4 linked regions of the Arabidopsis thaliana genome follow. The protein of the gene in region 4 interacts with the protein of the main gene of each other region in a pairwise test. Each region holds a gene or a part of one and is shown on either strand. Other genes may lie near its edges.

The links.
Region 1: the proteins of AT5G44080 (region 4) and MYB2 interact in a two-hybrid assay, tested with the Arabidopsis thaliana proteins (one large-scale study listed by BioGRID).
Region 2: the proteins of AT5G44080 (region 4) and WRKY43 interact in a two-hybrid assay, tested with the Arabidopsis thaliana proteins (one large-scale study listed by BioGRID).
Region 3: the proteins of AT5G44080 (region 4) and bZIP48 interact in a two-hybrid assay, tested with the Arabidopsis thaliana proteins (one large-scale study listed by BioGRID).

Annotation. Positions count from the first base shown.
Region 1 is NC_003071.7:19,369,802-19,378,055, forward strand, and holds MYB2 (myb domain protein 2), read left to right. Parts: upstream 1-6,183; 5' UTR 6,184-6,482; coding exon 6,483-6,639; intron 6,640-6,730; coding exon 6,731-6,860; intron 6,861-6,961; coding exon 6,962-7,496; 3' UTR 7,497-7,742; downstream 7,743-8,254. Other genes in the region: GolS1 (galactinol synthase 1), read right to left, coding at 1-106, 224-571; AT2G47200 (uncharacterized protein), read right to left, coding at 8,083-8,254.
Region 2 is NC_003071.7:18,953,013-18,960,526, forward strand, and holds WRKY43 (WRKY DNA-binding protein 43), read left to right. Parts: upstream 1-4,199; 5' UTR 4,200-4,241; coding exon 4,242-4,390; intron 4,391-4,476; coding exon 4,477-4,657; 3' UTR 4,658-4,913; downstream 4,914-7,514. Other genes in the region: LCBK2 (Diacylglycerol kinase family protein), read left to right, coding at 1-67; AT2G46100 (Nuclear transport factor 2 (NTF2) family protein), read left to right, coding at 314-674, 742-896, 977-1,043, 1,197-1,248, 1,368-1,455; KPHMT1 (ketopantoate hydroxymethyltransferase 1), read right to left, coding at 1,795-2,028, 2,126-2,179, 2,277-2,630, 2,998-3,399; AT2G46140 (Late embryogenesis abundant protein), read left to right, coding at 6,151-6,401, 7,101-7,350. UniProt on the Arabidopsis thaliana protein: Transcription factor. Interacts specifically with the W box (5'-(T)TGAC[CT]-3'), a frequently occurring elicitor-responsive cis-acting element.
Region 3 is NC_003071.7:1,327,573-1,334,986, reverse strand, and holds bZIP48 (basic leucine-zipper 48), read right to left. Parts: upstream 3,069-7,414; coding exon 2,568-3,068; downstream 1-2,567. Other genes in the region: DTX1 (MATE efflux family protein), read left to right, coding at 1-238, 323-373; AT2G04039 (DUF2996 family protein), read right to left, coding at 530-700, 785-862, 1,004-1,209, 1,284-1,347, 1,422-1,523; AT2G04137 (phosphogluconate dehydrogenase (decarboxylating), NAD-binding domain protein), read left to right, coding at 2,379-2,462, 2,625-2,804.
Region 4 is NC_003076.8:17,734,858-17,743,832, reverse strand, and holds AT5G44080 (Basic-leucine zipper (bZIP) transcription factor family protein), read left to right. Parts: upstream 1-3,883; 5' UTR 3,884-4,098; coding exon 4,099-5,046; 3' UTR 5,047-5,959; downstream 5,960-8,975. Other genes in the region: AT5G44090 (Calcium-binding EF-hand family protein), read left to right, coding at 96-221, 429-569; CAD1 (phytochelatin synthase 1 (PCS1)), read right to left, coding at 6,161-6,247, 6,509-6,774, 6,864-7,053, 7,156-7,383, 7,578-7,629, 7,729-7,892, 7,977-8,215, 8,295-8,451 and 1 more.

The sequences.
Region 1 (8,254 bases), on a different chromosome or scaffold from region 4:
CCATCACCGCGTACAAATAGCCATCTGGTAGGTCAAACAAGTGATCGATGTTTTCGTAAACTTGAATGTCTCCATCTAAATATATCATTTTACTATACTCCACAAACTGCACAAACACACAGAAAAAAGACAGAGCATTAACCACTTTTTCAAAGGGAGCTAGACGACGACGTATTGCTAAACACAACAAAAGAGGTGTTAAACGATGGCGTATTAAACGTACCTTCCAGATACGGAGTTTAGAGTAGTTGATGACGTAATAAGCCATGGCGAACTGAGTTTGGTTCTCGGGTGGGTAAACGGGTTCGATTTCACGGACGATGCATCCTTGATCCACAAGTATACGACGGTGTTCCTCCGGGACGTCGGGTAACATCGCTACTACGAGTGGATAAGCCGATTTGACTTTCCTTAACCCTTTGGCTAAACCAACGACTCCTTTCACGTAATCACCGTTTCCAGCAAGAAACGTCACGTAAGCTCGATCGCTGTCTTGGACTGATGGCAGTGACGGTTTTGTTATCGTCACGGTGGACATAGCATCAGCGGTTTGAGTAAGCCCCGGAGCCATGTGATTAGCACGTGATCTGCTGTGAGGATTTAGAGTTTATCTAGTCGTGTGTTTGTGTTTGCTGATGAGGACTTACGGTAGCGGGATAAACAGGGTTAATATAGGCGCTTGGATGGGTTACGATCGTGAAATCTGATACGTACACGTGTAAGTAGGAGAACAGACGGTGGTGATTGGCGTTTGGTGAAACCGTGAAAGTTCTGGAAAGTGGGACCGTACCGGAGAAATTTAAACCAAACGGTTATACGGAGAAAACGCTAGAAGCAGCTAGCTAGCTACGGTGTTTTGTGGGAAATCAGAACATGTTATTCCCTGCTACGAGGTGCATTGTACACTTCCCTAGTCCTCTTTCTTGCATTTTAGTTTAATACACACCTTTTTTTTTCTAAGTCATACTTATTTTTGCTAATTTATTAAAGTCATTTGCTAATGTATTTTAACAAGATACTGAAACCATACGGGAAAGAAACAGTGTAGATAACACTGTATTGAAGAATTATCAGAAGGAGTAATCTCTATCTACAAAGATCTCATTTTCCATAACCACTAAAGAGAAACACTTTTAAAAGTCGAAAATTTCAATTCTTGTTACTTTTCTAACTACTGATGAGGCACTAATAATTACAACCTAATTTTAAAAGATTATTGAATCTAAATAAAATTGCAGTTTCTGAAAATTTAAAAGGAAGTTAGATAACTTCAATTCCATGCCCTTCATTTCCAATTAATTATTGTGATACTACTTTAAAAAAAAAAAAAAAATTATAAACAGGAAAATTAACCACGTGAAAAATGGAGATTTCTCATTGAGAACGACAGATTTGACAACATAGACACCGCATTAGCAATTTACCTGGGTGAAGAATCACCGTGAGATACACGCGCCATCTGATTTGGGCCCATTAATCTCTTAATGGGCCATATGAACCAATTCCATGGTGCGTAGTGAACACTCGTGGGCTCCATCGAAGATCCAATTCCTTTCTCTTTCCTTATTGGATATACAGTCACTTCTTCTCAGATGTCGGTAGAAATGTCTCGCGTCACATTTTCCACAAGTCCTTTTTAACTTTCATTGATTTTTTAAAAAATTTGTCCAGCTAAATCTACAAAGAGCTTTATTTAATTACATTTTTTGTAGTTTCATTATCTTTCACTTGATTTGGGCTCGTAGCTCACAAACATTGGGCCCAATAAAGCCTAAGTCTCTATAGGTTTCATTTGTCACCATAGTATGAAACTTTTGTATGAACTTTTATGTAACTATTTCTACAGCACTGCTTGGATCATTATGTTTTTGTTATTGGAGTTTGCTTGACTCTTAGTGTTTGCAAACACCGTTGGATTTCACCAAATGCCAAAAAGGTAACAAAACTATTTATGATTCTAACACTCAAGGCTTGAGTCTCAAGCCAATGATGGCATGGTGCAATTAATATTTTATTATATGATTATTCATATGTTTTTGATACTTTGTAGTTTGTAGATGCCAAGAAGCAGATTCAAGCATTTGCTACACAGACACTTACCTCTCGCTTCTCTTCAAACCGTATACCATACTGCTGAATCCTGATGTTGACATTGACTCTAAACGTGTTTTGTGTTGCAAATTTTGACAAAGAAAAGAGATTAATAATGAGAAAGTGGGACTCTTACCATATGTCTTCGAATTTCCTGCCAAAAGCGTCGGTTGTGTTGAGCTTTGACTTTTATTACCTTAATCATCGCCGGTCATTTTTGATTTTGGCTCCTTAATATTATTCATATGTTTCCATTATTGTACATGTATATAATTTACTTTCTAGCTTATTTTTTCTTCACGCAGCTTTGACATTGTTGCTTTTCGGAGATCATATATTCCGACCAATCAAAATCTACCACATAGTGTCCGAGTTTAGGCAACATGCATTACATTTACTTCCAGAATTAAAATTTCATTTTTTTTACGGTTTATGGTAGACTTTTACTAAAGTTTTCATATTGTCAACTGTAAGACTTCTTAAAAATCCTTTTATGTTTCTCTTTTCTTAGAGCATTTTCTAACTTATTTTACACACATCCTTCTCATGGCATAAAAATAACTATTTTGTTTTCTCAACTACTTTTCCAGTTTACATATTTATTTCTTGCAAGATAAAATAGTTGTGTCAAAAATGTTAAATACAATTAAATGATTTGACCTTTAGTTAGAAACTTATTATTATATTCTATGCATAAATTTAAAGGCTGAAAATGCATTCCTTTCATTTTTTATACACCAAAATGTATACAACGTAAGAATTGGAAGTTCGAACTCAATATTGGTTTATACGTTTCAGGATTCTGAATTGACTGAGTCATTACTTTCTAACCATTAATCAAAACAAAAATATTGATGTGGAGTTCTTTTGAGTTTGAAGTTTGATTATGTGATGTTTCTTTAGAGGGAATATCAAATATATCAGATGCTTTATCAAAGACTATTTGATACATTGAACATCAACCAGAAAATGGATCTCCAAATTATTAAACCATACATTTAATTTTATGTATACTTCTCTATAGGTGGGTTGACGGAAAAATGATATATAGATGCTAAAACATGGACGTCCTATGGTCTCATCATGCCTTTCGAGTTTTGTACCACATGCTTTGTTTTATTAAAGTTTAAAGTTCGAACTCTCTTCAGAGGAATCTCCTCTGCGTCATCATCTATACGTCATCCTTTTAACGCCATGCACACAACTAAATATTTATAGATACTGCTTACTCTCCTCGATATATTACGAGTTTGTTATCTATTATCATGCATTTTACGATCAAAGTTGTGAATAAAAATGAACGTGTTAATAAAACATAAAAATAAAGAGAATCTAGAAAAAAGATTCATTTGCTGAAGGCGATGTAAACACGACCTCATGACCTAAATACGGATCGGTCAATAAGGGATATAAATACAAGATGATTTAATATTCATTAGCCATCTTCCTTTTTAGAGAGTCTTATCTATTGCCCTATAATATTTGATTTAAACTGTTTACTAAGATTTTGCGATTGACCTTATAGAGATTTTTTGTTGGAGGCTTTATGTGTTATGTCGCATCAAATCGGAATTAGACATAACCAGATGACAAAAAAGAGAGCCTTTGCGTATGAATATGACAGAATTTTGAGCGTGTAAGTTAAAAAGACGAGATTGTGGGTTCTACTTTTGGTAGTTCTGCTGATTTTGATAGATCGCAAACGTCTTTTTATGTTGATTTTTCATCTTTTTGTTGATTATTTATCTCTTTCTTTTTGTGCTTTCCTTTTTAAAACTATAGATCTACTTGTCCGGTGAGACGATCGTATATATAGGATAGTACACGTTTTGGCATCAAACTTGATTTCCTATTCTCGCCAAGCAGTTTTAATTTCTTGTCTTATCAAACAGGCTTTAAGATTGTTCTTGAGTAATATGCAATTTAGCAGTAGAAAAAAACAGTGAAATATTCCTTCAACTCATAAATCAATATAATTGACACAAAAGACCGGTCTTATTTCATGTCAATAGAAAATGGTATTTTCTCTCGTGGTTTGTTACTTTTCTGTTCTTATAAGGCTAACCTCTAGTGGGGATGCAAAGTTCTAGATTTAGACTTGTTCGTTAGATGACTAGGTGGTTAGAATTTAGATTCGCGTCGTTGTTTACTGTGTTCGGGATAATCGTTTTTAGTTGGGATTTGTCTTCGCGGGTTCATCTATCCTTTGCTCTACTCTGTTTGTGGTTAAAGATTCTCTAGTCCGCGATCTTCGAGCTCTTATTTCCGCGAGTTTTGCTCTCCTCCGACTTTCATGTTGATCTCATGAGCTTATCTTCTTGATTTTAGTATATTTTCTTGTGGTCCCATGTATCGGGCTTTTGTTTTCGGGGATTTCTTTATTTTCTGCCGGCTATGTTGTACGAAAACGCATTCCAAAACTGTATTTCACCCATGTATTATATAATGAAAATCTTTCAGTTAAAAAAAAAAAAAAAAAAAAAAAAAACTAGCTTATTTGGGTTGTCGTCTATATCACATATCTAATCGATGTAACAATTCACTGAATCGGGTGTTACAAATAACATTTGTTTTCTTCACTAAAAGTATAAGATACTGGTACAACGCGAAATCTAACCTATATTCGAATCAAATGACACGTCATCACTTGGGTGTCTATTTGTCCACAGTTGAAAGTTATAAGAAGCAGACAAGTGTCTCATAAAGACATCGAGATCTGATTCGGTTCTCAGGTACATACAGTTAATCGGGAGTGTTGCTTTCCCCTAGAACTATGGAGGCTACTATTTAAGTGTCGTTGTGTAACAAAAATCCTGTGTTTACTTGCATTACTTAAACTCCTTTACTTTAATAGTTTTATATATGTTTTCGACCTCCCTTTTTCGACGGAGTGGATCGCTATGACATGTAGGCATCTGATTGTATTTGCTAATCTGTTTTTGTTAGTATGTTAAATTTTTAACCCAATATATGTTTATAGTGCTTATATATTCTTACTTTAGTTACATATGAATATATGATCATTGATGAATTAAACAATATAATGTAATAATTAAATTTGATTTCCCTGATCGAATTATAATTTATATGTTTTGTAATACGAATCAATTAAAATATTTTCTTGTTACACATTTTGATAAAATGTCGTAGAACGTTACTTAAAAGTAATGATGCATTAACAAAATGTACAACATATATTATAAAAGTTATCATCAATATTATAGGCATTCGACTTTCAGAATGTGTATCAATAATCGAAGTAGTAATGGAACGATTATTGAAAGTATACTACGGTCTCTCTTTACTTCATCGTGGATTCTCATTAAAAACAAAAGTACTTTCTCTACCGGCAACTATTGAAAGTATATTATTGTTTTTAATAACTTTGATAGTGTTTCTTAATTATTAATCCCAACGTACGATAAAATTTTGTTTGATAAAACTCACAAAAGTTTAGTATATTTCTGTAAATATATGCATAGAAGTCATAGTGATTGACAGAGGAAAGACGTCTCTTTGACTACTCTTCAATCGAAAACAAAATGTGCTAAAATTTCAAAAGCAAAGTCCCTAAACTCGCCTAACTCCATTTCTCATTTGACTTTGCCTTAAATGTCAATAGTCCTATGTTATTTAGCTACATTCAAAATTGGGAATTAAGAATTATTTTAGACTCCATATACTTAGAAACGAATCCGTATTGGAAACTAATTTCCATTTAGTAATAGTATTTAAGTATTATTATGCTTACCGAGTAGCATGTAGTAGTTTCTTAATGTTAGCTAATTTCAAAGCAAACGACGAATATTAAATCGTGATTGCACACAACAAGAAGTGATTAATAAATCATTAATTTCGCCCATAGTAATCACTAACCAGAGTAATTTTGAACAAGACTAAGGATGTACAATAACTTACGTCTGCGATACTGTGTGGTAATAAATATAGAAACTTTATGAAATAGAACTCTCTTACCAAAGAAAGAAAAAGCAAGAGTGCGTGTTACTATACATCTGAACAAGTCAAAGGGTCAAACCTTAGTATTTTAAAATTACACAAACAATTGACCAAATGGAGAGCTAATTATGTTTAGCATAATTTACTATATAGTTGCAAAATTCCACTTTAGAAACAGAATAAAAAAATAAAAATTGAACATAACACTTATGCCGTGTTCCAGTCACTCTTCAACATTCTACTCATTTTCAAATATCCTTTTTATAAAATACTACTTTTAAAATTATTTGATTCTTATGTTCCTTCACTATATATATATAAATATCGCACATTGCTTAATCACTTCAAATCTAATCCACAAAACCATTCACACCATCTCATCTTCTTTCTCTCTATCTCTTTTCCTTTCCTCATTTAAAGTTTCTTTATAAGAAATGGAAGATTACGAGCGAATAAACTCAAACTCTCCAACACATGAAGAAGATTCTGATGTACGGAAAGGTCCATGGACCGAGGAAGAAGATGCAATCCTAGTCAACTTCGTCTCTATCCATGGCGATGCTCGTTGGAACCACATCGCTCGTTCCTCTGGTATCATCAAAACATCAATCTCTAAATATACATATACACAAAGGCTTTATATATAGATAAACTTATATATATTTTACTCATATATGTGCAGGGCTAAAGCGAACTGGTAAGAGTTGTAGATTAAGATGGCTTAATTACTTACGTCCAGATGTTAGAAGAGGCAACATCACTCTCGAAGAACAATTTATGATCCTCAAACTCCATTCTCTTTGGGGCAATAGGTACACACTATATATCTCAAATGTTAATATTTTGCTATTCTATATGTTACTAGTTAAGTATGTTATTAATATATGTCTTTTTTTTCAATTGAATATATAAGGTGGTCGAAGATTGCGCAATATCTACCGGGAAGAACAGATAATGAAATAAAGAATTATTGGAGAACTCGAGTCCAAAAGCAAGCCAAACACCTAAGATGCGATGTTAACAGTAATCTTTTCAAGGAGACTATGAGAAATGTTTGGATGCCGAGATTAGTGGAACGAATCAACGCCCAATCATTACCCACCACGTGTGAACAAGTGGAGTCAATGATCACCGACCCAAGTCAACCAGTTAACGAACCGAGTCCGGTCGAGCCGGGTTTCGTTCAATTCAGCCAGAATCATCATCAGCAATTCGTACCGGCTACGGAATTGTCAGCAACGTCTTCGAATTCTCCGGCTGAGACGTTTTCGGACGTTCGAGGTGGGGTGGTGAACGGGTCAGGTTATGATCCGTCGGGTCAAACGGGTTTCGGAGAGTTCAACGATTGGGGCTGTGTTGGTGGGGACAACATGTGGACTGACGAGGAGAGTTTTTGGTTCTTGCAGGACCAGTTCTGCCCCGATACGACATCGTATTCGTATAATTAAGGAAATATACGATTACTATACGTAACGAGGAATTCAATTGCGTCACGTTTGGTGTAATATTCATTCGTGCGTGATGCCAATTTTAGATACGGCCTTGGTATACGAATCTTGACTTAATTATTATCTTTTCTTTTCCTCTCTTGTTTTAATCCCCTGATTAAATTAAGATTTGATCATCAGACGAGGATATTTGTGATTCACTGATTTGTGATATTGATATATGTGAATTATTTGATATAACGTTTTAAAAACCAACAAAAAAAAAAAATCATTCCAAGGAAAAGTTCTTAATTTTGATACTCGAAAAGAGCGTAGACTGACTCGAATCAGTTCATATTTTCTTTGGTTCGTTTTATTTACGACAAAATTCACTAACAAAAATTAAAAAACGACAAAACGAAAATATGACTAAATTTATTTTTTTGACAGTTAACCACTGATTATTGGTTCAAATTGTCACAACACATGATTTATCTTGATAGAAATTTAGTAGTCCAGAATGCTGCATGGTTGATCCTAAGAAAAACAAATCATGCAAGGACCAAGGACTTACATTACTTAATTATACTTAAACGCTTTATAAAATTCACATCAAGTGATTCCTGACGATGATCCAGTAAAACCCTTCATCCATATCGTTGCTTCCACACGTAGTTTCGATAATAAACTCGTGATTATCGCCAAGATGCGATGTATCAACCACTGAAATTCTCTTCCTTGTCACGTTTTCGTCTCCGACGATATTTCTGTAAAGTTTC
Region 2 (7,514 bases), on a different chromosome or scaffold from region 4:
AGAACATCTTGGATTCCTACCTAGAAAGTTTCAGGTGTTACCCGGTGCCATAGACATAATCAGCTGATCAAAACCGCAGATTTCTTAGGATAAACTTGTCAAGTAAAGTGTAGAATACTTCAACTTTATATTCTTCCTGTAATATGATTCATTGTTTAGCGAATCAGATTTATGCTCGTGTTACTTGTGTAACTCGTTACTATCACTATTTATTGTGTGGTCTCTGTTAACCACAAATAGATACTTTAAAACATTTTAAAGCAAAAAGTCGCATCTCCTAAATCAATCAATCACACAAAATTGAATCCTAAAAATGGTAGCTTCTCTTTCCTTTCATTCCATCGCCACCGTTAATCCAATCTTCTCCGGCGATGGTGGTCGTTCAATCTTCCGGACTAATCGCCGATTCGAAGCAACTGGAGTGAGTTGCCGAGGACAGAATCCTACTGACGAGCCACAGACAAGTAAAGGACCCGAGCCGGATAATGTTCTACTCAAAATCGCTTGGTACGGATCTGAGCTACTCGGAATAGCTGCTTCTGTTTTCCGATCTCCGGAGACTTCTCCGATTGTGACAGGCTTTGAGGTTCCTGTTGATTGTTCTGGTCGAGCCGTTCGTGTAGCTGTCGTGGACTCGATTAAACAAGACTTTAAACGATCCTACTTCGTCACAGGTCAGTGTAAAATCATCCAATCTGAATTCTGTTTCTTTTGTCTAAATCGAAATCTCTGAGTTTTCAGGTAATTTGACGCCGGAGGTTTATGAGGAGAAGTGTGAATTCGCTGATCCGGCTGGATCCTTCAAGGGTCTTGCTCGTTTCAAAAGGAATTGCACTAATTTCGGAAGCCTTATCGAGAAATCCAATATGAAGCTCATGAAATGGGAGAATTTTGAGGTACGGTCAACTACTAAAAGATGTCGGAGTAAAAGTTTCGTTTTTTGTTTCTCACCAGAGCTCCATCATGAGTTTTGCAGGATAAAGGAATTGGACATTGGAAATTTAGCTGTGTCATGTCGTTTCCATGGAAACCCATTCTTTCAGGTATTTATTTTATCAAGGAAACCTTAAAAGTTTTCAGATTTTTGTAGCCTTTTTAGGATAAAGTTTGCAACTTTAATAGCTTCAATGATTAGTAATGAAGACAAAAAGAACAAAACTTTTACTATGTCTTTTTATGGAAATCTGTTTTTACAGCAACTGGTTACACGGAGTATTATTTCGACACAGAATCCGGGAAAATTTGCAGGTAAAAAGATTACTTATGAGCTCATTAATATAAACCCCACTAATCTCTTTTCAACTTTGAAATCTTTTGTGAAGAAGAAGAAGCTGGTTAAACATATTTTGATGAATGTTGGCTTGCAGGCACGTGGAGCATTGGAATGTCCCTAAGATTGCTCTGTTCAAACAACTTCTGAGACCCAGCCGTGGTTTAGTGGGGACACAAAACTAGCGCAGATGAAGAATGATGTCAATTTCAAATTAGATTTTTTTAACCGTAAATATATGAAACTTGCTTCTGAAACTAATATGGGATACTCTGCTCTTAGAGATCTGTAATGAATCTATTCAAGATGACACATATAAACATACTATCACTGTCGCATTAAAACAAAGGTCCATTCTTCTCGGTTGGACAAGCAACAGAGAAACCATGCTTGAACCTCTTCAACCTTGCACCGTCTCAAGTTTTAACCGTACTCTATGAATTTGCATTCTCTTGAAAAAAATGATAATTCTCTAGTGTCTTAAGTACAATTGACAATATATCTCAAGCTTTTGGATACAATTGTCACTTTGAAGGCTCCATGTTCTCAGCTGCTAAAGCTGCTGCAGAAGCAGCCTTGTCAAAACCAAGCTTCTGCAACTCGGTTAAGAACCCATCGAGCTCACTTGCTGTGATCTTGTAAGGACTGTGAGAAGGACCTGGAAACACTTTTTTAGAGACTTCTTCTTTGTATTCCATTAGGGCTTTGTTAATCACTTCTCCGACATTAGCGTACTGCTTGCAAAACTTTGGAGTAACCTGTGAAATATAAGAGCATGAAACAAGAAGCATGTTGATAACGAACGAACGAACAAGAGAATGCGTTTCGAAAACAATAATTGTGTCAGGATTTTACCTTGGCATGATGTGGATGTTGCATCATACCAAGAAGATCATGGTAAACTAGCACCTGCATTTCCAAGAAAACAATTAACAGGTATGAGAAATGCAAATTTGTCTCTTGGCTACACACAAAACCGGAAAGAACGAAACTTTTCAAATAAAACCTGTCCACTGCAGAAAGGTCCAGCCCCAATGCCAATGGTTGGTATCTTGAGGGCAGAAGTTGCAGCAGCAGCTACAGGAGGTGGAACGCATTCCAAAACAACCGAAAAACATCCAGCTTCTTGTAAAGCCATTGCAGTCTCAACAACTTTAACAGCACTAGCTATGTTTCTGCCTTGGGGTCTGAAACCACCAAGAACGCTAATCGCCTGAGGGGTTAGACCCACATGACCAATAACCGCAATTCCTGCTTCAACTATAGCTTTTGCAGCAGTGATCCTAGAAGCTGATCCTCCTTCGAGCTTAATCGCATCCATTCCTCCTTCCTTCAAAACCCTAACCGCAGTATCAACCGCCTGAAGCCAACATTTAAACCCAAAATCAGGTCCCTAATTTGTTTCATTGACACAAAATCTTGTAAAGAATCTACTTTGCATAAGCAAGTACTAAAGCTAAATCTGTGATTACACAGGCAATGACACATTGACACATAATGTATCATTTAAGACTTTTTTTATCAAGAATCCAATCACCTAAACATTTGATCAGGAAATGAATTGAACATTGTAAGTCCCACTGAGTGTTGTGATTAATTCAGGTATTGAAATTGCAATCAAGAATCTAATTACCTACACAAAAATTAAGCAGAAGAACATGCCTTATCAACAAATATGTTTAATTTAGGTATCTAGAAGAAAAAAAGATTCAATTTTATAACATTACCTGACTAGAGCTTGACTCGTAGGTACCAAATGGCAAGTCACCAACTAGGAGAGGTCGTTTAGCGCCTCGAGCAACGGCACGACAATGAACAAGCATCTCGTCTAAGGAGATAGGAAGTGTTGTGTCGTGACCATGAACAACCATGGAAGCTGAGTCACCGACAAGACAAACATCGATACCAGCTGTGTCTAAATGAACGGCGGATGGGTAATCGTAGGCAGTTACGACGGTGATCGGTTCTCCTCTCCGGTGTTTTTGTCTGAGATGCGTTAGCGTCACTCTTTGGTTTGGGTTTTGTGGCTTTGGTCCTCCGTAGACGGTGTTTTCCGGTAGGTTACTCATGAAACGGACAGAGATGGCTTTTGAGAAGCGAGAGCAATTCCTAGTGAGTGAGGACGCCATTGTTGTGAAGATGAAGAAACCCTCTTATCTGTGACTGTGTCTGTGTTTACAAGAACAAGGAATTTTACTTTTAAGAAGATTCAATTCCTAGTGAGTGAGGACGCTGTTTAGATTCTGGCAAGTGGCGATTCAGTTCTGGGTTTCACACACAAATCAAGCATAGCAATGACACTGTTAGGAATTGTGATAGCTTAACTATAAATTCAATATTTTAACGAAATCAACAAGATCCGTTGTAGTCTAGCTGGTCAGGATACTCGGCTCTCACCCGAGAGACCCGGGTTCGAGTCCCGGCAACGGAGATAGTTTTAAAATATCTTTACTATATTAAACCGGATTTTGGTTCAGTCTGGTTATGTTAACCCAGTCTCTGTTTCTCTCTAGGCTCTAGCCTAACCCAGTCTCTGTTTCGATCTTATTGAACTTCTGTTCCAAAGGCGATTCCTTTTTTATTTTTCCGTTTCTGGGTTTAGATAGAGAAATGTAGAGATTGAGATCGCGGTTACTAGTTGGAACTCTCTTGGAGTTGGAGAGCATCCGAGGGTTCTGCACGAGCTCCTTTAAGATCGTAGCTTCGGTTCTTTTTTATGAGATTGCGCATTGTGATACCAAAACCGGATTCTACTGTTTACAGTTTCCAGGAGTTCAAGTAAAGACCAAACCATGTCTCTGTTTTTTAAGTCACACACGTGTGAGATGACGTGAAGGAATTTTTTGTTGTTGTTGGTCTGAAGTAGTTGAATGTAGTTGGCTTCTAAACCTTTTTATATATCTCTTCAATATAAATCACACGAAGAATTCTAACACACAATTCGTTGATTCATCATATCTCCTCTTCATTAATGAATGGCCTCGTCGACTCTTCTCGAGATAAGAAGATGAAAAATCCGCGATTTTCGTTTCGCACAAAGAGTGATGCAGATATTCTCGATGATGGTTATCGATGGAGAAAGTACGGTCAGAAATCCGTCAAGAACAGCTTGTATCCCAGGTAAACTTTTTAACATAAATAATCTGAAATTGTTTTTAAAAAGATTGTTTTTTTGTGTGTTTCTTCTCACTTATGATCATCAAAAGGAGCTATTATAGATGCACACAACACATGTGTAACGTGAAGAAGCAAGTTCAGAGGCTGTCGAAGGAGACGAGCATTGTGGAGACAACTTATGAAGGAATCCATAACCATCCTTGTGAGGAGCTCATGCAAACCCTAACTCCTCTTCTTCATCAATTGCAGTTCCTCTCTAAGTTCACCTAATTATGTTTGTATATATATTAACGTTCTAAGAGCATCTCCAATGGAAGTATCTCAATGAGATACCTAACAAAAGAAAAAAAATTAAAAAAAAAATATGAGAGAAGGGAGAAAAAGTAGGAGAGAAGGAGAGTTAAATTTCTCGGATGATTGGACAGGTGTAATCACACTATTAGTTCAACTATTAAATAATAATTAATGTATCTGTTTTGATTAAAATATTAATTAATATGTTTTTGAGAAACTTTCTTTATTTTTACTGGTGGAGATGGTCTAATGTTCCATGGTTCATATAACGGAGCAAATTAAAGCATTGTAATCATATATGTTTGCATGTTCATAGTTGCAATCTCGTTTTGATTATAAATCAGTTTTAAGCATATAACCAAAATAAAAAAACAAATCAATTGTAATATTCCGGTAAAACGATTACCACGTGATGATTATAGAGAGGCATAGAGCAATATCGTCTGGTAAACTGAATAAAACCGGATTTGGTTTCCATAGATTTTTCTCAAGCCAAATCAGTTTCCTTTCGTTTGAATAAACCTATTGGCTTATCGTGAGTGATTATTGTTTTGTTTATTTACACGATGAACAATGTCAATGAGACATGTCACATGTACGAAGTCAGTTCCGATATATTACATGAATTGCTTTCAAGTTTTGATCAGCATCCTTAAATAGTCACCGAAAATAAGAAGCGAACAAGTCTTGGCGAAGTTGAAGCCACAAAGTGTACTAATAAATATGGATTGCCGAATTAAAAGAAGAAACAAAAAAACTACATTTTCATATTTTTTTTCTTCTTCCATATATAAATCCACTTTTCAACTTAAGCAAATGCAATCAATGGGAAGGTAAGTATGTATACCTCTAAATCTCAAATAATCTTTAAAATTATAAAATATATATGTTTTGACTAATTTTAGGAAGATAAAATAATCTCTTATATTTTCATCTTCTTGGGATTATTTACCAAAAATTAATGTTTAGAAAGTAGTACTACTCAACATGTAGTTGTTAAATATCTTTAAAGTTTAAGTTTTGATAATGTTAAAATCTATTAAAAATAATTGGTCATAATAGTAAAACAACTAATAATTAATTTTTTAGGATATTGCTTAAAAGTTAAAACATATTGCTAATTTAAAAGTCATAATATACAAAATATAATTGTAGTATATTCTATAATAAACATGTTTCATCTTTTTTTCGGACGAGCAAAGAAGTAAGAACGCACGTTATGACCATGATGCTCTAAAAAAAGGATCTTATTCCTTTTCTAATGATGGAAAAATTATTATATTATTCCTTTTCCAACAACCAAAGAAAAATCAAAAATGTCACGCTCCGGCAATTAAGGTATTTATCATCCTTAAAAGAGGTACCAAAATATATAGAACCGACAGCGCCATAAACTTTAGAAAAGAGAGAGAGAGACAAAGAGAGATCTGATCCTTTGAAGAAACAACACCAAAAAAAAAAAAAAAAGAATGGCATCAGCGGATGAAAAGGTGGTGGAAGAGAAGGCTTCGGTGATTTCAAGCTTGTTGGACAAAGCCAAAGGTTTCTTTGCGGAGAAGCTGGCGAATATTCCGACGCCGGAAGCAACCGTGGACGACGTTGATTTCAAAGGCGTGACACGTGATGGAGTAGATTATCACGCCAAGGTCTCCGTCAAGAATCCTTACTCTCAATCCATCCCTATCTGCCAGATCTCTTACATCCTCAAGAGTGCCACAAGGTCATCTTCTCTTTTTTTTCTTCTTGTACCGTCTGATCTACTCTAACACCGTATTGTGCACTTTTTATTACACACATATCATGATAGTATCCGTATTCCGGATCTAGCCTAAGATAAATAGAATTTGTGACACATATTTTGATCATCTAAATTTTGAGAATATGAAAAATATATATGTGATATTTTTCGTTAAGTGTATCCGATCTTTGTACTAATGAATAGAAATGTGTATCAATTAGGTATATCCGATCTAATGTTTGACTATTTTTAATTGATAACAGTATTTAATATATATGTGTATGGATTTCGTTGGTAATTTGTCTGGTCTCATCACCGAAATGGCTAGATCTCATTTTCTCACTAATTGTATTTTTATCGCATTGTGCCGCATTATATATACATACATATACTAATTTCATTATCCATGTGCATTGATGATATCTAGCATCTTATATCAATCCTAATGTATATATTTACACAAGTCTACTGTATACATAATATGACATTACTAATAACACGTGTTATCAAGGAAACAAAGGCACAAAGCTATATAGATGGTCTCAGCTTTTGTATTTTGAGGATTTAAGCTTAGATAACATTTTCATAACAGTACTTTTTATGTAACGTTATGCACACGCCATGTATAGGTGTAACGTACATTCATCATGTGCTGATTAATAATGTTTGTGGCATGCGTAGGACGATCGCGTCAGGCACGATACCGGACCCGGGTTCGTTGGTTGGGAGCGGCACGACGGTTCTGGACGTACCGGTTAAGGTGGCTTATAGCATAGCGGTTAGTCTGATGAAGGATATGTGTACGGACTGGGACATTGACTATCAACTAGACATTGGGCTAACCTTCGACATTCCTGTTGTTGGTGATATCACCATTCCTGTCTCTACTCAGGGAGAGATCAAGCTCCCTTCCCTTCGCGACTTCTTTTAATTACCTTATTTCAAATATAGTTTTCTTAAATCATAATCTAATTTTCAATAATGTACGATCCATAAACATAGACGATCGGAGATTAATACATTTCTGGAATCCTTTTTTTATTTTGTTGATTTCAACAAGGATTTTATTGGTTATTAATTATGTATGTTTTTCAA
Region 3 (7,414 bases), on a different chromosome or scaffold from region 4:
TATCCTCGACGGCTTCACAGCAGTTCTAAATGGAGTTGCTAGGGGAAGTGGTTGGCAACACATTGGAGCTTGGAACAATACTGTTTCTTATTATCTTGTAGGAGCTCCTGTTGGAATTTACTTAGCTTTCAGTCGTGAGTTGAACGGAAAAGGACTGTGGTGCGGTGTTGTGGTTGGATCTACTGTGCAAGCCACTATACTGGCTATTGTCACAGCTTCCATAAATTGGAAGGAACAGGTAAATAGCCATTTCAGCTTTTTACACTTGTAAATTCTTTTATGTTCATTCATTAATGCTATGAAGTAATCTATGATTTTGCAGGCTGAGAAGGCAAGGAAGAGAATTGTCTCAACTGAAAACAGATTGGCTTAAACAAATGATGTTTCTCATAGTTATCTCAAACTATTTGTATGCCTTATGCAAATTTTTTTTGAAAGATGTTTATAAAAGAGGGTCATTTGTTTTCTTAATCAATTTTATGACAAGGATTTATAAGTTTTCTTCAATTTTGGTATACAAATGTAATAATTACAAGTGAACAAAAACCTCATTGGTTCCAAACGGGGATGATCCCTTGTGCAGCAAGACGCTTCTCGACCCAAAACACAACGTGGTTCGCAGTTGGTTTCCTCTCGTCGACAAGAAATGGTTCCACGGTGCTCGGACCTGACCCGTGTGAGGAAATTGAAAATCCTTTTGCTCCTGTTTTAAGCAACAAACCAAAAGACATAATGTTCCATTGAAATTTTCTGTAACAAGAGTCTCAAGTAAAAGATTCAATACTTCACCTGTAAGGTTTCCAGTAGGGAAAAAGGCCCAAAAGGAATATGGAATACTTTTCTTTAAGAAAAAACCTTCCAACTGACACAAATAATGATAATTGTCTTAGAAGTTTAATCAAGAAGACATTTTGAGAACATCCAATAAAACTGGAGCCATATAGGGTAGAGAGATGGCCCCATAAGCATGGCAACAAAGCATTAGAAGTTAGAAGCAAGAAACCTTATCGTCTTGGAAAGATAAATCTATGTCAGAGATATCATCTTGAGATTCAAGAATGGCTTGTAAAGGAGGAATCACGTCTTCTTCCATCATTTGTCTCAGCGGTTTCGCCACTGCAGCCGCTTTAGCTGCGGGTTTAGGTTTCTTTGCCGGAACCGCCACTGTTGACTCTTCTCCTTCTTCTTTGTTTTTCTTTTCAGTAGCAACTAGGAAGAGAACAAGAAAGTTACTCTTCTCGAATTTTTGAGCCAAACATTCTGTTTTATGCATCAATCTTTACCAGCAGAAGTTGAAGACTCTTGCAAGGCACACCGCAAAAGGTTGTCCTTTCTAGTACCTGATTGCTGCAAGAAGACGAATCATAAAGATTCAATTCAAATGAGATACAAACTCCATGAAAATTGAAGACATTACAAACCAATGTTAGTGGTGGAAGCAAAGAAGAGGAAGAGAGAGTTGGTGTTGTTATAGAGATACGAGAGCTTGGGACTCCAAATGATCCTCCTGCTATTGTTGCCATAATTAGGAAGAAACAGAAACTGTAATTGAGCTTCTTCAACGATTACAAGATTCGTTGTTCTCAAAATTCTCAGTTTTTCTCCATTTTTTGCCTCAAACTCAAGACTAATGTTTTTTAGTGGACCAAAAGCAAAGGAAAAAAGAAGAGGAAATAAAACAAGAGACAAATGTGAAAAAGGCTGAGCCTAAGATTTGCCAACCACACACACAAAAAAGAGATATAGCATATTTTTATACCTACAAATAAAATTAAAAACACTTGCACTTCCCATTATAGTTATGTTTACTATCGTATGTAAACTTTAGTAATAATATGTTTACGTTGATCTTCCCATTGTAGAAGCACAAGAATAGAAGAAAGAAAGAGTTAAGTGTCGTTAGCTTAATTGGTAAAGACTCTAGGCAAAACTAATATTACGGATTTCGGCCCAGAACCAAAAAAAAAAAATATATATATAGAAGAAGGAAAAAAAATTGTCAATAGATTAGAAGCATGGACTAAATTGACATTTCATAAACTATCAGATAAAATGAATAATATTTTGTAAATTCAGATTAGTACTCCGCAAATAAATTTGATTGAGAACTTCTAACGTGCCCGACTGGAGTAAAATAAGATTCCAAATGACACTGGAGTTTTAGCCAAATTTCAATCACGTGGCGAAATCTTGTTCGTTCTTAAACTGCCAGTTAGAGATGCAAAAAGAATCAAAGTTTAGGGAGTAAACTGTAAATACTTCCTTTTCAAGTAAGTATTTGATGATAATGGCTCCCTGATTAGAAATGTCTCATTATTTTAGACCATTATCACTAAGCAGTAAGCACTATAAGTCTATAATCGCAGAAGATAGATAAAATGGAAGTAGGGTTTTCTATGGGTTTGGGAATCATGGGAAAGTCCATGTCAATGAATATATTGAAGAACGGATTCAAAGTCACTGTATAGAACAGAACACTCTCCAAGGTATAAAAACCAAAATTTTCTGCTTTTGATTGTGTTAATAGATTACGTTTTGTCTGATAAAGTTGGACACTTTGAGTAATACTAATTATCTTCAAACTCTCTTGGAAAACTATTGTTGTTGTTCTTGTTAGATTTCAGTTCACAAACAAGCTGTCGGAGATCAGAAGCTTCTTCTTTGAGTTTAGAGTTCTCCTTCAATACACAATTTTGAGTCTCCGATACGCGGTTCAGCTTATCGATAAGACAGTTGTTCTCGTTGCGAAGCCTTATTACCTGAGACCAGAGTTCATCAAGATGTCTCTGTTTCCTCATCCTTGACCTCCTTGCAGATTCTCTGTTCGAAAGCATCCTTCTCTGTTTCCTCTCGTCGAGTACCATGATGCTTTGATGATGATCTTCGTCGGAAGTTGAGTTGTTGCTTATCATGAGATCTTGACTGTTGGATGATGAGGAATAGTTGTTGTTGTTGATGATCAAATCGTTTAGGTAGTTTAAGGAAGAGGTTGGAGATGAAGGCATGTTTATTACGTTGTATTCCGGTGATAGATATTGGAAATATCCGTTGATTTCTGCCGGAATCATGGTTTTAGTTTGGTTTATATGAGTATGTAAGAGTTTCTGTGTTTTTATTTTGTGTGAAGAATTGGGAAGTTAGTTTTGAAGTAAGAGGAGGAAGTGGACCAAGGGTTTTATAATGGGGTTGTAGGAGAATCATGTAGAAGTGGGTCCTATGGATTATAAGAGCATAGAATAAGAAGAAAAAATGCGATGCTATAATTCGTAATTTATAGTGGTGGAACATGGACAAAGAAATGGAAAGAGTTTAGTCATAACAAAAATATTGTTAGTGTTTTATATATAACTTGTTCATTGGAAGTGAGAGCAGAAACTGCGAGAAGGTTTTTAAAATTTTGGTTTTTTTATATAATTTAAACCCAATAATAGTTAACTTGAGTTGTTTATTTTTGTAACCTAGATTTATACACGTAAACCCTTTTTTATTTTAATTTATGGTAAATTATATTAAAAAAAAATATTTATACAATGTTTAATACGCAGTAAAAAAAAATACAATGTTTAATACAAAATTTTCATATCTTTTAGTTTAAATCTATCCTTAGCATTTGTCTTGTCGCAACCAAGTTTGGATGCTTCCCTTCCCTAGAATGAACTTATAGAGAGAGAGAGAGAGTGATGCGGCTAAACTTTAATTAAAAGATTGGATACGTTTGAGCGCCAAGTTCGATCCATTATATGCATTTAACTTAAAAGATTCGACATGTCTATTGTTTAAAATATAACTAACTAAAGTAATTAAGTACTGACTTGTCCCTCATTCGTTTTCCTTTATAAGTGATCATTAAATAAGAACCCACACTCTACATCGTGGAGAAATATGTGTAGAAATTTTAGTTTGTTAATTTATATCATAAATTATAATTATAATATATTTTATTTAATAAGTTTATTTTGTAATTTTATATATTTAATTTATTATATCATATTTCAATGTAATTTTGCAATCGAATTAATAAATTTGACAATAATTCATCCAATGTTAAAATCGTTGATATCTAGAGAGTGAGACATGTTGATACGCAGAGAAATTCATCAATTCATAGAAACTAATCATAGCAAATTTAGAGGATTAACCGAAAACATGATATATTATGTTTAATTATGATATTAATAAAAATATTTGTATTAATGATTAAGAAGTATTTATGAATATTAATTATGGTTAAAAAACGTAATTTGATGTTTGTTGCGTTATCCCATTCTACATAGGATCTCGTTTGTTTCAATATTTTGGAAAATATAATAATGAATTTGAATATATAAAAGATATGATTTTTGTCATAGTATTTTTCGTTGTGAGTTTTGTTGCATTTAGTGTCCAAGTGAGTCTTTTGAATTTTAGAAGTCTTAGTGTCTTTATGTGTATTATGTTATTTTTTATGTCTTTTACACTACAATGGACATTCTTATCACGAGAAAAATGCTATAATATGTCTTTAATAACTTTTTCATGAACGCTATTTTAGGGCATTGTTATTATAGGTACCTCACATACAGTAGCGTGAGTTCAGTATGCTATGTTATAGTTTAATAACATAGCTATAAAGAACAGTTGTATTATCACGTTTAATTTTCTTAAAAAAATTATATAATATTTGATTTTTCGTGCTATGTTATATATCTCTAATATAGCTGTTGCGAAATGTTGTTTTATCGTGGTTTGCCTTTTTTCAATTGGAAAATAATTAGTCAAATTATGTGCTATGTTATGTTCTTATATCAATTTATAAGCTACGATAGATGATTAAAACATAGCATTAGTCATATGTTAAATATTCTATTACCTGTATTCTTATAGCATTTTCTGAGATGTGATTATAGTACACATAACACATAACCTGCTTTATAAAATCTCATACATTGACCATTGATTAAACATAAGTTTAGATCCAAAATACATAAGAAAAGTCTCAAGCACAAAATAAAGCAATACAGGAGCTAAGTGCATATGTTCTCTTTCCTTGTGTGGTAGGATGCAAAGCGTGTCGTAGACCAAGATGTTGCAGATCCTTACGTGCATTAAGACCATCCTTAGATTTTCCACAATGCAACAATGTGGATACAATACTGTGAGCCACGTTCTTTTCTGTATGCATTACATCCAAATTATGCCTTACTAGTAGATCCTACAATATAGACATACATATATTTTAGAAGTAATTGATGTATCATACTTAAACATATAAAAGCTATTTAAATCTGAAAACAAGTAATCATACCTCCCAATAAGGCAAAGTAAAGAAGATTGATCTTTTCTTCCATCTAGATAACTCATCCTCATCTACTTCTACTTCCTCATCTTCCTCGGATTCACTGGATACATCATCACTATCATAGACTGGTTCTTTATAGACAGTTCTCTTTCTCTTCATCCCAGATTTTTTCACATTTCCAAAATCATTCTTGAAGTTTTTCAGATTTTGATAAACTTCATGACCAGTTAAAATTCTTGTCTTTCTCCTATGTTCAACTTTTCCATCAAACCAAGTCTTCTTTTCCCTATATCTGTGTGTTGGAACCAAACCTTTTCTATGACACATATAGACATGCTTCCTGCTAAACTTCAACCACATACTATCTGTATTTTTTCCACACAAAAGAGAGCCCATTTTTCCCTTAACTTTACATCCAGCAAGGTTTCCATACGCAGGAAAATCACTAATAGTCCATAGAAGCATTGCCTTTACAGTAAAAGTACTTTTACTAAAAGCATCATATGTTAGCTCTCCATTTTTCCACAGATAATTCAAATCCTTAATAACAGGTTCTAAGTAGACATCGATATTATTACCTGGTTGTTGTGGACCAGGAATCAATAATGTCAACATTATATTCTCCTTTTTCATACAAAGGTGAGGAGGCAAATTGTAGTTTACCAATAGCACATGCCAGCAACTATAATTACTATTCTTCATGTTAAATGGGTTAAATCCATCTGTAGACAACCCCAGCCTAATGTTCCTTTCTTCAGCTGCAAATGAAGGATACTTATCATTCATCTTATCCCATGTAACTAAATCAACCGGATGACGAAGTTTTCCATCCGTGCTCTTGTTAGTGAAATGCCACCGTAAGTCCTTGGCCATTTCCTCTGATCTAAACAATCTCTTCAGCCTTTGTATAATTGGAAAATATCTCAATACTTTCTGTGGGACACCTTTTTTTACCTCACCAATGTGCTGATTAGTCTTCCACCGTGAAGCATTACATTTGGGACATTTTTCAAGCTTCTTAAACTTCTTTCTAAAGAGGCAACAATCATTAACACATGCGTGGATCTTTTCATATCCCATATGAAAGCTCTTTAAAAAATTCTTGACATCATACAATGATGTGTGAAGGACATTATCATCTGGCAACATGCTTGGCAATGTATGAAGCAGCTCGTTGAAGCTCTTATTCGACTAGCCATTATGTGTCTTAATCCTAAACAAAGTCACAATAGCCGATAACTTGCTGTGGTTTGAACAGTTTGGGTATAGTGGGGTTTCAGCGTCCAATATCTTTGCAAGGAACTCATCTTCTCGTTGGTCTTCACACTCTGCAATCTCACTTAAGTCACCCACCAGATTCTCACCTAAGTCACCTCTACAAGCCAACTCTTCATCAAAAAATTCAGCAGCTTTATATAACTCAAAAACTTCCTCATTCCACTGATTTAGTTTGCTTTGAACTTTATCCACTGACTTCTCATCTCCATGATGATACCAATCACTATGCAACTTGTATGCCTCATCCATCCCTCTTCTAACAAGATGATCAACTACAACACAGTCAGACTATCGTACTACATTACGACAGTCTTTACAAGGACATATTATCATGTCCATTTCTCCTAACACCGCAGCAACATCCCGTACAAATTTCCAAGCACCTCTTTCATAGCCAGTATCAGCTCTTCAATGGATAAGTAAAGAAAAAAATAGAAACTCTAAGTATCCAAACCCCATATGAAACCTAACTATAATTATAATTTCTTACTTGTTTAGATGAACCCATGCCTTGTCCAACATTATATGTTATAATATAAATTTAAACATTTATAGATAAAACAGAGATACAAATTATACAATTTTCCAATCATACTCCACAATAAGCAACAATTCAGACAATTCCATGTAAATATTCAAATCATAAGCAACTTTAAAAGAGTTTTTCATATTAGAAATCAGTCAATAGTGCACCAAATCAGGCACATACAGATGCTCATAAACTAATCTCACGATAACTTAAGATAATTAAGCAAGTATACTAATCTCATCACATAAACAACAACATTAACAAGCTATATACGAATCAGACTCAAAGGACAGAACATTGCAATCAACTAATTTGGTTGAATGATACTA
Region 4 (8,975 bases):
TTTCTTTTAAACCATAACATGGTCTTTTGATATTCCTGGCTTGTCTGTTCCTTTGCTCTTATTCGCATCATCAATTTGTCGAATGACTCTTTCAGAAGGAGAACTGCATCACACTCCAGGATCTGAAAGCATCCAAACTTTCTGGAAATATTTTCAATATACTCTTTAACCTGAACAAATTCATGGCGTTTGAAACCCGTGACCCTTTTCTCATTCGTCAGGTAAACATAGGTTTTCTATAGAGTTTTCCTCCCTTTGGTTATTCAATCCTTCGTTTAGCTGTTGAAACTGTTACTACTGAATATTTATTAATGCCATAAAAATTCGCAAAAATTATTATAAGTTCAGATAGTCACCTACTACTGCAGCCGGTTGTATCTGTTCCAGTCTCTGCTACTTCTAAACCAACTTTGTTTTCCATTTGACAGGAACGTGAGAATCCAACATTGACGGAATGGGACCGATTTGCTCAGAGAGAGTATGTGAGGTTGTCAATGGAGGAAGATGTGGAGGAAGTCTCGAATGGGAGTGCAGATGTTTGGGATGAACCACTCGAATCTCCATTTTAGTGACTCGTAAGAGGTACTTTGTTCAACACTGGTCAGCATCATGTTCCTTATGCATGTATGAAATAGCAAAATTGATGTGCTCAATGTTACAAGTTTGTATCTTTTGGTATATTAAACGTATTAAAAGCCGTTTTCGTTGCTTTTTTTACTAGTTTCTTGGGAAGAAGAGGGAGAAGTCAGATCTTCTTGGGTGGTAAGAGCCTCGGAAACAATTTTCAGACAGACAACCACGAAAGCCAGTCCATTCCACGGTTCCACCTAGAGATTGGCGACCAAGAGACTTATCCGATGCGTAAGCTTGTGTTAGTTTCATGAAATATTTGTCTTGCTTAGGTTTCTCAGGTTGGACCCTCTTTCAATCTTATGTATATTATTATATACGCCGCTTTATAGTGTTTTGTGGAACCAACAACAACGGTTTTATTTAAAATCGAAAGAACTATGTACAAAGACACTTTTTTTTGTGGGAAGAAATTTACAAACCTTGAAACTTGTTTTACATGATCATTGTTTTTGCTTTTTCCTCATTAGCAAATTTGTGCCTATGATATCAACTACAATTCTCGTATAAACTATAGAATATCAAATCAAATTATATACTATATATCAGTTTTTGATTGGTTTGAGCCGACATTGGTTATTTGTTTGTATAAGAATCATTAAAACTTTGTTTGTCAATATGATATTTTGGAAGATGTGTTAAAAAGTCGTGCATTTTGTTTTAACAAGCATGAACTCACTTTCTATGGCGGTTAAAAATAAGGGAATTTGACACGTTTAGACATTTTTAAAGAATTTTATTCTTTTTGAGGCACTTGTCACGGATGAAGCACTTTTCCAACTTTTTCATTAAACTTTTGACCAATTTATCTCTGAAAATTAAGAAATTATAATAAAAAAAAAAAGTTTCATCTTTCCACGTTCCTTTTTTTTTCTTCTTCTTCGTCGCTTCTTCTTTTCACTCTCTTTCTCTCTCTTCTCATTATTACTTTTTTTCTTTCCTTGCAAAATCAAACATTTGAGAGTTTGTCAAGATCGTGTAGCTTCTGTATTTTTCTTTACGGAGAAGCCTCTCTAAAGAAAACGGAGAATAAATAGTAAGGGTGTCGTTGCGACCACTTTTACATGAGATGTTGGTATCGTCGGCATCACTAGACTAAACGGCGATCACTTTTATAGTCGTTGCGACTCTTTTCATGAGAATGATGATGTTAGTCTCCAGTGGCGGATCTAGAACCATAATTAACCTGGGGCACAACATAGCTAACATATAAATTTTAAAAATAAAATACAATATAAACATTTTTTAAAAGACATGTAAATGGAAAAAGAAAAAATTGAAGTGTCCTTGTATTAGCATAATTCTTTCAAAGAGTTATAGAAAAAGATAAATTTGGAAAAATAAGTTAAATACTGAAAACATTTATTACTTGAAAATAGTAAAAATAATGAGTAATAACCAACTGATTAGAAAAAAAATCACTATAACATGGGGCACAACAAACGAATTCTTTCATCTCCAATACAAATTGCACATCAAACTTCAAAATTATCAAATCTTGCATGGGGCACGTGCCCCAGTACTCATACACTTGCGTCCGCCCCTGTTAGTCTCTACATACATTACACGCAAGTAAGTTAAAAAAAAATCAGTCGCCGATCGCTGACGTATCGATTACAAAAAGAACAGGGTCATTCCTTTTCAAAAGCCATAGAATTTGATAGCAAAAAACTTAGAGATAAGTTCAAGTAAACTGAGATAAAAGAGTAAAGAAGTACGTGTCCAGAAATCGCTGTCCACAGAGGTTTGTTCATTTAACTCTGTTAAGATGATCTTCTCGATTGGATTTTAAGGTTTTAAAATACAAGTCCAAGTTTGATTTTATATACAGAACATCTCAAGATATAACATAAATGATCACAAATTCAAGGGAAAAACGTGTCCAGAAGTCGTTGTCCACATAGGTATGTCCATTTAACTCTGTTAAGATGATTTTCTCGATTGGATTTTGAGATAAAAAGGTAAAGAAGAACGTGTCCAGAAATCGCTGTCCACAGAGGTCTGTTCATTTAGCTCTGTTAAGGTGATCTTCTCGATTGGATTTTGAGATAAAAAAGTAAAGAATAACGTGTCCAGAAATCGTTATCCACAGAGATCTGTTCATTTAACTCTGTTAAGATGATCTTCTCGATTTTGCTCCAAATTTTTAACATCTATATCTTAAACACAAACGTAGAAATCAGTCTAACATCTGTGAATGAAAATTAGTCTCAGATCTAAGCTAAAATCTCCATCAATTTCACAGAACCAGAACTAGCAACAAGGTTCTTCAATAAGTGAATCAACCATCAAAAAACTTATAAACCGTTTATGATGAACACATAAGATAACCAGATTTTCTGAATATATACAACTCAAATATAATCATGAATCAAATTCACAGAACATGGACTAAGCAACGAGTTCCATCAATTAGTGATTCGACAATTGCTATCAAATAATTCGAAGTCCACTGCGAGGCTTTAATCTCCAATTTAAGAGAATAATCTCGAATATGAAATTGGAGAAGAAAGACAAAGAATTAAAGAGCAAGTAATCAGATTAATTTTGCAACAAATAACAAAAACATAAAACAAAAACCAAACCGCAAATCCAATTCAATTATTCAACGAGTCATGTAACTAAATCAGCCAGATCGGGCAGATTCTCAAATTGATGGTTTGAAAAAATTCTCCTTCAAGTCAGATCAAAGCAGATGTGGAAAATTTAAAAAGCTGAATTTCAATCTCTCTTTCTCATAAAAGCGGATGATTTGTTGAAGATGGAAGAAGGAAAAAGGAAGAAATCTATTTTTTGGCTTGATTTTTGTTTATTTCTCGATAAAGTAAAAGAAAAAGAGAGAATAAATAAGAGAAGGAGAGAGATAAAACGATATGTGATTAGACGATAAATGAGTCAAATCATCTATTCAAAATGCTTTATCTTTAAAAAGTGTCTAACCATAAAAATGTTTTTTAAAAAATATCTTACAGTGTAATATTCTCTAAAAACAACTACCATCGAGTTAAAATAACGTCATTAAATTACCTTAACTAAATTCAAGTAATAATAGTCAAGTTATAATACATTAATGATCTTGAAATAATTGATGCAAGTTTGACAACTACAGTTTGATGACACGCGACAAAACTTCCCACGCGCTCCAAAAGTTAGAAAATCTTATCCATTTTGATTTTAACCTTATCCAATTTACCAAAATCAGCTCTTTTCTTTGGTAAGTCTAAAAATTAAAACTCACGTGCCACATATGCGCGTGGTATTTTAAAAAAGTAATAAAAGTCAATTAATTACAATTTGGGATAAATTACCAAAAGTTCTCAAAGGTTCTCAATTCGACACAAAAAGCCCTAATCTCTGCTTCTGTAAAGTTCAACATTTGGCGGAGTCAAAGAAACAGAGTGATTCTCTGATCCGATTCCGGCGAAAGAGGACGAAACAAACGGAACTTGTTCATCATCTTCTCCAGAAATGACGTCGTTTCAGGTGATGCGTTCTTCAAATTCGAGAAACTCGGATCTATCTCGTCGCATCTCTTCTGCTTCTACTTCTTCTTCGTCTATAAGACCTCAACAACAGTTCCGGCGAGATCTAACAAGTGTCGGTTACGGCGGAAGAAACGACGGATTATACAGTTCAAATTCGATGACGGTCGAAGGGATTTTACACGATACTTTCGCATCAGATCCACCAGCACCAACGGAATCTTCACTCTTAGATGCGTCGATAAATCTGATGGATGCTTCTCCAGCACCAATGGAGATAACAACAACGACGGCTTCTGATGTTGTGGATCACGGCGGAGGAACGGAGACGACGCGTGGTGGGAAGAGTGTTGATGAGATTTGGAGAGAGATGGTATCAGGAGAAGGTAAAGGGATGAAGGAAGAGACGTCGGAAGAGATAATGACGTTAGAGGATTTTCTAGCGAAAGCTGCGGTGGAAGACGAAACAGCGGTGACGGCGTCGGCGGAGGATTTGGATGTGAAGATTCCGGTGACGAATTACGGATTCGATCATTCTGCACCGCCGCATAATCCGTTTCAGATGATTGATAAAGTAGAAGGATCAATAGTTGCGTTTGGGAATGGTTTAGATGTTTACGGAGGAGGAGCTAGAGGGAAGAGAGCGAGAGTGATGGTTGAGCCATTGGATAAAGCAGCTGCACAGAGACAGAGAAGGATGATTAAGAATCGTGAATCTGCAGCTAGGTCTAGAGAGAGGAAACAAGCTTATCAAGTTGAGTTAGAAGCTTTGGCTGCGAAGCTTGAGGAAGAGAATGAGTTGCTTTCTAAGGAGATTGAAGATAAGAGGAAAGAGAGATACCAGAAGTTGATGGAGTTTGTGATTCCTGTTGTTGAGAAACCGAAGCAGCAGCCACCACGGTTTTTACGCAGGATTCGGTCTTTGGAATGGTGATAAGAGGTATAGACTTTTGAGGATTTTAGGGTCTTAATGTTACTTACTTTGTGTATGTGTGTGTGAGAGTTGATTCATAATCTGCAGTAGAGTGTAATGATTATGGTTAATAACTTATATATTATATTAGATTGCATATGTTATTGGTTTTGCTGAGATTGATCTTATTTAGGCTGATCATAGTGAAGAGGGTACCAATGGAAACGAGATTCTTCATTTTGTTCTGAAAGATCTGGATTTTGGTCCTTATCCATGTCTGTGGAGGTAAAGCGAACAGAAGTGCAGTGATGACATCGTTTCCTGCTATGTACTTTGCTTCTGGACCATACTCAGAACCTTTGGTGACAGATTGGGTTGACGGCACCAATAGGCCAACCTCTTGTTCATTATTGGTATTAACTACCATCCCTGCTGTCACTTTAGCTTCCTCAACCCCAGGCATCAATGCATTTAACAGAACTATCTCGACAATAGAAGTCTTTCGATGAGCTTCCAGATAAGATAAGAGCTCCTGAAGTTAAGAACTTTCTGACGTGCTCCAACAGTTACAGTTCCATGCACTTGTGTCACTGCATCTCGCTGTGACCAGAGATTAGATAATCAAGTCAAGTGAAGATATTGATGGCCACAATGAACATTTAAGTAGGAGAATGAGATTTGAAAATCTCTCTGAATCATACATAGAATAAAGAGATTTTCTAAGAATCAAAACCATATCTCTGTCAGTATTTATAGCCACTGATCGGTGAAAAAGTGACCAGATCCAGTCTGCAATAGGATCTGTTAGAATCCGGATTCAAAATTTGACTGTCTAATACGAATGATCCTTAGCAAAACAGTGTACACAGTTGGGACTAAGGGATACTGTTGTTTTGAATGTAAGCCTTTGGTACTTATTTGTGGATAGTGGATTCATAATCTGCATTTGAGTGTGATGAAATATGATTCTAGGATTCTTAACTTATTGTGATTAACAATTTATAGAATGCAAGTTACATATATCTCTCATTGCAAATAGAGTTTGAATCGTACAGAGAATAAAGAGACTTTCTAACAATTAAGTGTTGAGAACGTGGGATTCAAATGGGGAAGAGAGAGGATTTGGGACAATGAACTAATAGGCAGGAGCAGCGAGATCATCCTCTTCCTTGTTCTCTTGGCATCGTTTTAGCAGCTGAAGTTGCCGTCGAAGATGCAATACCTGCATTTACACCAAATTCACCACGTTACTCATCTGCTTCACAGATTCATTTCACCAAGTACTCATTTAGATTCGGCATTTGATTTAGCTATATCTAAGGATGAACTCGAAAATAGTCATTGTCAATCTCAACTTAGATTAAGTTATTTGTTTCTTTTCCAAAAGACTTATATATCTCAAGTACAAAGATCCCATTTTCCACTAGAGAGAGAACCGTGACTCTTGATGATTACCGATAAATAGAATTGGTAAAAGCGTTACCTCTTCTTGAAGCAAAGTTGGGAGGGAAGCCATGGAAATGAGCTGCTTCATTTCATGCATAAGAGCTTGGTCTTTGATCCCTGACCATGTCTGTGGAGGTAAAGCCAATAGAAGTGCAGTGAACACATCGTTTCCTGCTGGATAAGTTGCTTCAGGACCACATTCACACTCAGTTTGCGTCGATGGCACTAACAGATCAACCTTTTGTTCATTCCCATCACGCACCACAACTCCAGTCACCACCGTGCCTTCAGAGTCATCAGGACCTTAATAGGAAACAAAAAATTAACAGTTGATCTAACACCAAAACTTTTAACTATGATAAGAAATTTGAAGAATCGACATGGCGACATACCTTTGATGCATTTCACGCAAGTTTCCCGACAACAAAACTCTTTTGATGGGCTTCCGGATAAGATTTCAGCTCCTTGGCAACAAGCCTTTGCAGCAGCATAAGTCAGACTGTCTTCATAACCCACTGTGGATAAGAACTTATTGATGTGTTTGAACAGTTCAGTTTCGTGCACTTCCTTCAGCACCAATTGCTGCGGTAGATTAAAGTTATGATTAAAATCATGTGTCACATAAACCAACAGAACAGTTTCCATGCAGCTTTAGGTTTCTATGAAAAATTATCCTGAAGATACCTTTAGTTTCAGCCTAGACTTCTCCTCTGCGCTGAGATTTTGGTTTGAGTCCTCTGTAATTCGGATCTCAGCCACCCATCTGATGAATTGGTTGAAATTTGATGGAAGTGACTTGAACACAACTGATATGATTTTCTCCACAGAATCTACATGCTGTGAACTTACAAGACGAGGAACATCTTCCTTCAAATACTTGGCTATTTCGATCCAGCTTTCATCCTTGCAGCTCTGGTATAGATATATAAAAGCAAAATTATCACCAATCCACAAGTTTTGTCTTACCAAAATGCTCATAAGGATCTCAAGTTCATTCAATACATGTGGAAGAGATTGTGAGTGAGAAAATTGCATTAATAGAATAGCAAAATTGAAGAAAAAGATATTAGCAAACTTAAAGAGAACCTATATTGCATCGAACATACCAGAGTATAGAGCAATCCGGGTTCTCTGTGTGGTCTAGATATGAGCATGAACCTGAGAACAACACAGAAAAAAATCAGACCATATTATATAGAAATATTACATCCATGATACAGTAAGAACCTAAGCGAAAGATAAGAAAAGATTATGTACCCTCTACGTTTCCCTGTTGACTGATCAATACTGTCCATGGCTTCCCAAAGAAGTTTAAGAGGAACCCAGTGAGGGGGATACTTGAAACGAGCAACATCAAGAATCAAAGCCATATCTCTCTCAGCATTATAGCCACCAATAGGTGAAAAGTGACCAGTCCCAGTCTGCAATTATAGCCACCAGACGTTTTAAAACTTGAAAATATGACTGAGCCTTAGCAAAACAGTGTGTACAAAGTTATGCTTTACCTGCTTAAATACACCTCGGTGATATGTTGAGATCATATGACAATTCTCAGAACTCGTGCATTTGACGACAAATTTGCGGAAATCATCAATGGTGCTCTGACTTGTACGGAAAGCCTCAACTTTTGCTCCTGAACAATGAGCCAAACAGACAACTTTTCCAAATGAAATGCCTTTTTCCTTCACTACTTCCAGAGGTTCGCAGCAATCCAACATTGATTCATCAAACCACCTCCAAGGCCCTATTGGAAGAGAGGAAAACTTTTTATAAAAAACCATCATTTATTTAGTGTGGACATAATTTGCTTCAATCTTGCATACCTTTCCATTTACGTCCAGGATCGATAGAAAGAGCATTCAACACCACTGAGAGACTAGCCAAACCACAATACGCAGGTTCGGATTGTGTCTGAAAATACGAAATCAACCTGAAAAATCCTTCCATAGTTCCTTTCTGAAGCGCTTCATTGAAGATTAGCTGCCACAAATGATCAAAAATACTTTTTAGACATCAACACAGCTAACATTAACAAGTACATCTCCAGTAAATATAACCACCAAGCGTACTACTTCCAGAAACACTATCACTGAAATTACTTGGAGATATATTCAGATCTCTGTGATCACTGTCACTGACCTTAGAAGGTTCACAAGTGATGATCACTGTCAACGACTACATTATGTGTTTTCACAATTCAAATCCAAATCCAGTATCTAATTTTACAAAACGCGTTTGATTCAAGTTCTGAACGAATTGTAAGATCTCATGAGTATTGAAGACAAAAACAAAAACGAAATCGAGATTGGAGTCTGGAGATCGTGATTCATCAGAACCACAGAAAAATTCGCGTAACCAAAAACCTAGTTTATAATCGCAATCCATGAAATCGAAACTTGATCCGTACGTACCTTGCCTTCGGCGGAAGAAAAGTCAATGGCCGGAGGAGAAGGAAGAGATCGCCGATATAAACTCGCCATAGCCATTTTTCACTGCTTGTTTTG